Linked DNA regions of Nothobranchius furzeri. The protein of the gene in region 1 purifies or fractionates together with the protein of each later gene. This does not show direct contact. Links are inferred from orthologs where the notes say so. Each region holds a gene or a part of one and is shown in the gene's direction. Other genes may lie near its edges.

Region 1 (4,157 bases):
AAGAGGAAATTATTCATCAACATAATCAAATTACTGATTACTTGTTGGCAAAAACTTCAGAGCAGCTACAAATCTAAGTAGGGTCTGGTGTGACTGGTAACTTCTCACAAAAACACCAGTTTAAGTATATTCACAGCACCGTGATATGACCCTTTTTGCAAAGATAGCTGATAATAAACATGAATGTTAAGTTCTCATTAGTGTTCTTGCTCTTTCTGCATTTGTTAGCATTGCTCCTTGTTATGTTGTTATAGTTTCATTGTAACCACAAATAAGCTAAATGCAAATATTCAGCATTATGCACATTTCAAAGTCTCATGTGATGTGTTTGTGAGTCAAACGTAAATGTGTCTCTGTGTGTTATCCTGTGAATTCAATGTCAGATTTTCTTCATAAAAATATTAAGAAAACAACAAAAATAATTTATATTATTCTCTTCTTAATGTTAGTTAGTATTTAGAGAGTCCCACCTTTGATAATTCCAAAAGGCCATTGCAAATTATTTTTTTAATAATTCAAAGGAACTGGTGCTTTTAAAAGAGAAGAGGAGATGGGACATTAATGCCCTCTGGTGGCACAGAGATGAACTACAGTCTAGTTCAATTAAAAAAAACTTTTTTGCATTATCATTATCATCATCATCATCATCATTATTATTATTATTATTATTATTATTATTATGAAAAACATCCCATTTTTGTCTTATTGGGGATGATGGAGGACTAGAAAGAGCAATCACAAAAATTTAATTAGCGCAAACACTTCCTGTAAATTATTACAAAACATGACATGTCTGAGTTAACAAGAGAGGAACTCGCAGCCTCTAGCTGTCTTTTTTATTAAGCTAAAAACCCAATTGAAATATTTTCGACATTTCCAAATCAGTCTTGTTCACAATCACTCCTTCCAATGGGTATTGCATAGAACAGTCCAACATAAATATTGACAATAATAATAAGTAAAACATTTTATAATGAAATTTTGCCAGAATATAATCTTACTAATTTAAAGGGCAATGTAAAATAAATGTACTGCAATGGAAAATGTTAATCCTGAGTACATAAAATAAATAGTTTTTAAACAGTCTTATAAATTTATTTTAGCGAGTTTTGCTCATTGTTGGGCTTTTTACATAGCAAAAGCGATTACAGCATCAATTCTGCCACTGCGAAAAAAATCTGCTTTAAAATCTTTTTATTGCTTCATTTTCCCAAACCTAAATTTCTAAAAAGATATATTAAGAAAAACTTGGAGGCCAAGTTGTGCAAAAGAGCGGAACTGTTCTAATGAGACACTGTTTCCACCCTGAGCATTTATTTTGTTACACAGATTTCCGGCAAACGAAATAGCAGCGTTGTTGTTTGGAACGTCCACTAGTGTAACTGTAGGTACAGTTTGTTTTTATAAGTGGACGCGTAGACCGTAAAATGGGGTTTTTCGAAATGTAATTAGTTTTTTTTACTTTATTGATAATCTTCGCTGCTTAAATAAGATACTTTAAAACCCTAAAATTAGCATTCGCGTTCAAATACGGAAACACTTGAATGATGAACAGCTCACGTAGCACCTGAGAGAATTTACGCATGTTTCTCAGTAAATATAGTTTGTAGATTAGTAGTAAACAAAGATGGCCAGCAGCAGCTCTTCGAACATGGATCCAGATGTTGCTTGGTCGTTATTTGAAGAAGGAGCTACTTTGGTTCTGCTGGGTGTTCCTCAGGGCACCGAGCTTGGGATTGACTGCAAAAGCTGGCAGGTTGGTCCTCGGTTTCGTGGTGTTAAGATGATCCCCCCTGGTTTACACTTCCTCCATTACTGCTCTGTAAACTCGCCAAGCTGTGGTGGAGAAATCGGTCCTAAAACGGGTCTTTTCCTCACCCTGAAACCAAGAGAAATTCTCCTGGCCAACTGGGATCCCAAAGAAGAAGATCTGGATTTCTCAGCCTCCAGGAATGAAGAGGAAGTGAACAGGATCCGGGGGACTTTGCGGGAGCTGGATCCCTTCTTGGGCCCTTATCCCTATGAGGTCATGAGGAAGTGGGTGTCTCTCACCGATCACATCAGCGAGAAGCTGGCCAGTGACTTACAGCCTCTGACGGGTCGAATCTGCGCCTTCAGTGATGTCGTCCCCGAGCTTCAGTTCAGACACACAAAAGACAGGGCAGAGCAGCCGAGGAACGACACGGCCTGCCAGAGCATGAAAGAGGGACTGGACAGGCTTCCCAAAATGAAGCACAGAGAAGGGACTGAACTGCGCTTTTCAGTTATTCCCAAAAAGACCTACCCTCCTGGGGCTACTCCAGCTGAGATCACGAAATGCAGCATGGACTTGAGCTATGCCCTGGAGGGGGTTCTGGAGAAGAAATACGAGAACCAGCCTCTAAACTTGCTTGGTTTGTGTCACAAAGATTAATGCACTGTTACAAGAATGCAACTGCCTAATGCCTATGCAACTAAATATCTGAATCTCAAATCTCTTCCAGGTGAGCTGCAGTTTGCTTTTGTGTGTTTCTTGATTGGGAATGTGTACGAGGGCTTTGAGCACTGGAAGAGCCTCCTGGCTCTGCTGTGCCGCTCGGAGGAGGCCATGAGGAGGAGGAAGGAGCTCTATCTGGGACTCATCACTGTGCTCTACCACCAGCTCGGAGAAGTCCCTCCTGACTTCTTTGTTGACATTGTGTCACAGAACAACTTCCTCACCAGCACGCTGCAGGTACAGCAGATGTGCAACAGCTGCACGCACAATGTTAGGGAAATATTCAAAATGTTTCTGAATCAGAAAAGAGCTGTCACTAGAGGCACAAACATCATGTTTTTATTTCTTGTGACCCTAAATTGTTTATAAATGTAACAAACAACTTGTACATTTCAGACCGGATATCCATCATTTTCCAGCATTTCCAGCCTTCATTTAAAACTATAAAAGGTAGCAGGGGACATGAATCCTTTCAACGAGGTCTTTAAGTAATATTTTCATTTAAAATCTGTCTTCAATTTTTTTTTCTTCTTTCAAAATGATTTTTAAGCAGCTACAAGATGGAAAATCTACTAGAGCAAGAATTAGGGTCCCATATTTTGTTTCTATTTGATCTCAAACTGGTGTTCTTCATTGGGGATTATTAAATCGACTTTTTATCTTGCAGGATTTTTTCCAGTTTGCCACTGGACCTGGTGTGGATGGGATCCTACAAAAGAAGGCAGAGAAGTTCAAAACCCACCTAACCAAGAAGTTTCGTTGGGATTTCGATGCAGATTTGGACGACTGTGCACCTGTAGTGGTGGAGCTGCCTGAAGGCGTCACAGTGGACTAATTCTCCCATCGTGCAGTTTCTCCTCTTGGCCTCATACCGGTTCTACAGCAGCACACTGCCACGGTTGTTCTGTGTGGTTCCAACATGTCTTCTATTGTTTGTCTTTTCATAAGGAGAAGATAATATGTTCACGAATCATCTGTAGTGATGTAGTCAGAGAGAGGAGAGGTTTGATCTGAGGTCTGGTGGTTTTTATATTAAATAAAGTCAGTAACAATTTATTTTGTTTTATTTGTATAGTTGTTTCAAAAGAACATTTACATTCTACCACATTATTGGAAAGTTTTGAACAGTAGTTCATGAATCTATGAACAAATCTAAACATGCAAGACATCATATGCGTAACATTTGTTTCAAAATAAAGCACTATTGTCCAACAGGAAAGTGGGAACATATTTATATAAAGCAACCATGTGGTCAGGTTGCCCCTGAACGTCTCCCTAGTGAGGGGCTTTCCAGACACATCCAACCTGGAGAAGACCCAGGACACGCTGGAGGGACTGCGTCAGCTGGCCAGGCACTGCCTTAGGGTTCCCTTAGAGTAGCTGGCCCAAGTGGCTGGGGAGAAGGAAGTCTGGGCCTCGGCTTAGGCTGACCTGACCCGTGACCTGACTCTGGATAAGCGGCTGCAAATGGATGGATGAATGTCAGCCTCTTTTAATTATCATGAATGTTTAACATGTCCACTAGGGGGAACTGGAGGACTGGTTTTCACTATGAGCTCCTTTTAGTTTAGTCGGTTTTCAAAAACCACACAATAAAGGTTCTGTTTATAAAAGCAGGAACACCTCAAGATCCTACCAGGTTTTCAAACCTCAAACCTATCAAATACTTTTTTTTTTTCAT
Region 2 (3,654 bases), on another chromosome or scaffold:
AGGTTTCCAGGAGACACGTAGAAAACTGCTGAACTGGAGGTTCTCCACCTCTGGTGTTACTGAAGCTGAATAAATTTGTCTTTGTTCTTCAGTAAAAACGTTTTTTTAAATCCAGCCAGCAGCTTTTAGAGCTCTGGAGGAAATCTGTGTTTGGGTAGACTCTCATCTGTCCCTCTGTCTGCAGCTGGGTGTCTGGTTCTCCCTCGGATGTGCCTACATCACTCTGGAAGGCTATGAGGGAGCGGCGAGAGCTTTCCAGAGGTGTGTGGGACTCGAGCCAGACGTAAGAACACACACACACACACACACACACACACACACACACACACACACACACACACACACACACACACACACACACTTGAAATCATCGTTTTTAGTCTTTTATAAACCTAAAGCTTCTGTCTTATTGTTAAAGAGCAAGTCACCCCAGAGTTTCCCCCAGAAAATGAGTTAAGCCTAGCGGCTTCGGCCGTTGGGGGTGGGGGGGTGCACACGTTCCGCTGATGTTTCTCACCAGTAACAGCTGATGGAGGGCTCTAGTGTCGCTGTGCCGTTCGTGTCAGCGGACACGGTCGGGGAGGGGGACGGGGCGGGACATGACGGGGAGGAGGGTGGGAAATGACGCTTAGCCTGGCGGGCTTATAAAGCACTGGGAGAAACCCAGCACCCCCTACCAGATTCTTACTCCACTCCCACTTCCTGTTTGAAAAATGCAACAAATGCTGTTGCCTAGCAGACCGAGACGGCGGAGCTGCTAACAAATACACACACAGGCTCACAACGACATTGTGACATCATACGGTACCAGCTAACGTTCTAGGATACCTCTTAGCCAATAGCGATGGCAGATTTAAATTCAAATGCAGTGCAGAGTTTTTACCTGACAACGGCACAACACTGACAGTTTTAGGCAGAAGATTTAAATTTTAACTAAAATGCACTTAAGTGCAAAACTATTGACTACACGTGTCTGCAGCACGATTAGACACACATTTGTATAGTTTATCAGAAAAATAAAGTTGATTTGGGGGTGACTTGCTCTTTAATGTGCCAAACTCATTTCCTTGAACTTTTCTGGCCCATCCTGGTCCTCCTCCTGTCCTTCAGAATGCAGAGGCGTGGAACAACCTGTCGACGGCTTACATTCGCCTCAAAATGAAGTAAGTGTGTGTGTGTGTGTGTGTGTGTGTGTGTGTGTGTGTGTGTGTGTGTGTGTGTGTGTTTGTTATTGGACAAATCTTTTAACGTGTTGGAGTAAACCCAGCTGCTAATGAGGCAGGCTCAGCCTGGGGGCAATTCCCAACAGGCCACTAGCATGTGACCTGCTGCAGTGTGTCTGTGGAACGGTAGAGGAAACCGGAAAACCTGGGAATGACAGAATAAAACCTAAAGCCGCTCCGCTAGTTCTGAACGTCATTAAGGAACCGGAACAAATCCAGCAGAGACCTGCAAGGTGCTTCATCCCTGAGCTGATCATTGGAGATCCGGTTTAAACCAGATTCTGCCCATTTTCTGTTGGTTTTTAGATGTTTGAACACCTGCAGGATTTCTAGAGAATAAAGTTTGTGTAAAAACAGAAATGGTTCCCTTCTTACCCTGGTTAGCTTCCTGGACAGCCTCTGTTGACAGAAATAGTTTACACCCCTCAGGAGTGATGTGCTAACGGCTAGTCTGAGTGTAGTGTGTTGCTGCTGTCTAACATGATGAATGCATAAAAGATGGAACAGTGGACCAGACCTTCATGGGTTCTCCAGTCCACCGGAGAGGGACGTCTCTGGCCCCTGAAGAACTGAGAGTCCGTATCTCAGCAATAAGATGAGCTCGTTCCCATCGGGCGTTTCTGGGCAGGACAGGGTCATGGACAAGAGGGTTCTGGTGGGTCATTACCCCCTCTAGGTCTTGTTCTTTGGTGATGGAATGATGGAGAGGTGGCCCAACAGGTCAGGTCTTTGTCAGTGATAAGAGTGTCTCTCTGGACTGCAGTGGTAAAGAAGAAGCTGAGCAGAACAAAAGGTCTGGTTTCATTCGACTCTGAACTGTGGTCATGTGATCTGGATCAGGACCAAAATGTTAAGTCTTCTGGCGTCCTGTTTCAGTGAATCTGCCTGGTTTCCTCTGACAGAACCAAAGCCTTCCACACGCTGCAGGAGGCCCTGAAGTGTAACTACGAGCACTGGCAGATCTGGGAGAACTTCCTTGTTGTCAGCACTGACATCGGGGACTTCTCAGAAGCAATCCGGGCGTACCACCGCCTTATGGACCTGAGGGAAAACTACAAAGACATCCAGGTAAAGCAGCGACCAGCTTCTCCGTTTCTGTTGCCTTCACGACCGCCCGGAAAAGTCAGTAGTTCATGATGTTCTCCATCGTTTCTCTAAGTTTTGAGTCAAAGTGTGATTTATGTCCTGATCAGGTCAGACTTCCTGTTTCTTCCGACTCGTTTTGATTGTGATCAAATTAACTAAAGTCATTAAAAACATCAGAGGGAACAAACTCCCTCCTGGTCGCAGCAGCAGAACAGGAACCAGCTGTGAGTGAGTGGAGGATCATCTGCATGGTTCTCCTAAACCAGGAGAACCAGCCGGAGCTTGTGCAGTCGGGATAATCCATTCTCCGTTTCTCCTCAGAAATAATTCTCTTTTACCGGAGAACCCAGTTCAGCTCCAACTCGGCTGGTTCTGACCGACGACAAAAACACTTAAAAGCATTTTTCATCCTTGGTTTTTAATCTGGTTAATCTGCTAATCTGTGATCAGTCTGATGAGAGGAGTGAGATGGAAAAACCCTCCAGAAAATAAATCAAGTCGCTTATTCAAGGATATTTCTGTCATTTGGATGTTTTTTTCATCTACAGTAAGGATCACACATGCAGGTGATGTCATTCAAAGTGGGCGGAGTCTCCAAAAACAGGAAGCATCAGCTGGGTAGATGATGTCTGATGTTTAAACCGAGTCAGATTGAGTCACAATTTATGAGCCTACGTTTGAGTCTCGTCTCCGGTCCTGTCCGAAGCCTCAACATCCCATAATAATGTTTGTGCAGCTCCTTCTCTGACTGGAGTTCTGCAGCAGAAGCAGAACCAGCCACTCTAGGCCTGCATCATATGATCAGTCACGTTTCTCCTGCCCGTGTTTTTCTTTCATTTCTTTAAGCCGAGCTGAGGCGGCGACGCCGGCACGGACCACCATGAATTCCTGTCTTATAGACTGGAAACGGCACCGCCTGGTGCCCCATGGGGTTAAACGGGCGCTACGCCCGCGCTCTGAATCACCTCTTTATTCTCTCCCCATCAGAATCTTTTGAGCAGAAAATAAGAACTGAAATCTGGAAGGTGATCGGTTTGATTCCGGCTCTGCCAGCGTGAGTCGTTCATCCACTTTTTACTCTAATGATGAGACTTTTATCACCGTGATGGACGGAGATGCTGTAAAAAAATAAGACTTATGGATGTCATTTTACTCTGGCCACAGAAAATGGGCCATGGAATGGACCACACCTCCTGATGATGAGCTGTGAATCATCTCCAGCTCCTTTGGTTGTGAGATCCTAGGAAATGTGTCCTGAGGTGTAGACAGGCGGTGAGGACGTGTCCATCAGCGGTCCTCAGCTGCATCCTGCAGGAAGTCTGACGTGATGTTGCTGGGTTTGTCT

What was found. The genes of interacting proteins can lie anywhere in the genome.
Region 2: the proteins of aar2 (region 1) and ttc27 purify together in Homo sapiens (affinity purification with mass spectrometry; 3 studies listed by BioGRID and IntAct, with this or other methods). This does not show direct contact. The link is inferred for Nothobranchius furzeri from reciprocal best matches to the Homo sapiens genes AAR2 and TTC27.

What each region holds. Positions count from the first base shown.
Region 1 is NC_091755.1:59,903,726-59,907,882, forward strand, and holds aar2 (protein AAR2 homolog), read left to right. Parts: upstream 1-1,430; 5' UTR 1,431-1,627; coding exon 1,628-2,393; intron 2,394-2,483; coding exon 2,484-2,713; intron 2,714-3,143; coding exon 3,144-3,311; 3' UTR 3,312-3,532; downstream 3,533-4,157. UniProt on the Homo sapiens protein: Component of the U5 snRNP complex that is required for spliceosome assembly and for pre-mRNA splicing.
Region 2 is NC_091752.1:9,800,152-9,803,805, forward strand, and holds part of ttc27 (tetratricopeptide repeat protein 27), read left to right. Parts: intron 1-184; coding exon 185-283; intron 284-1,110; coding exon 1,111-1,163; intron 1,164-2,125; coding exon 2,126-2,291; intron 2,292-3,654.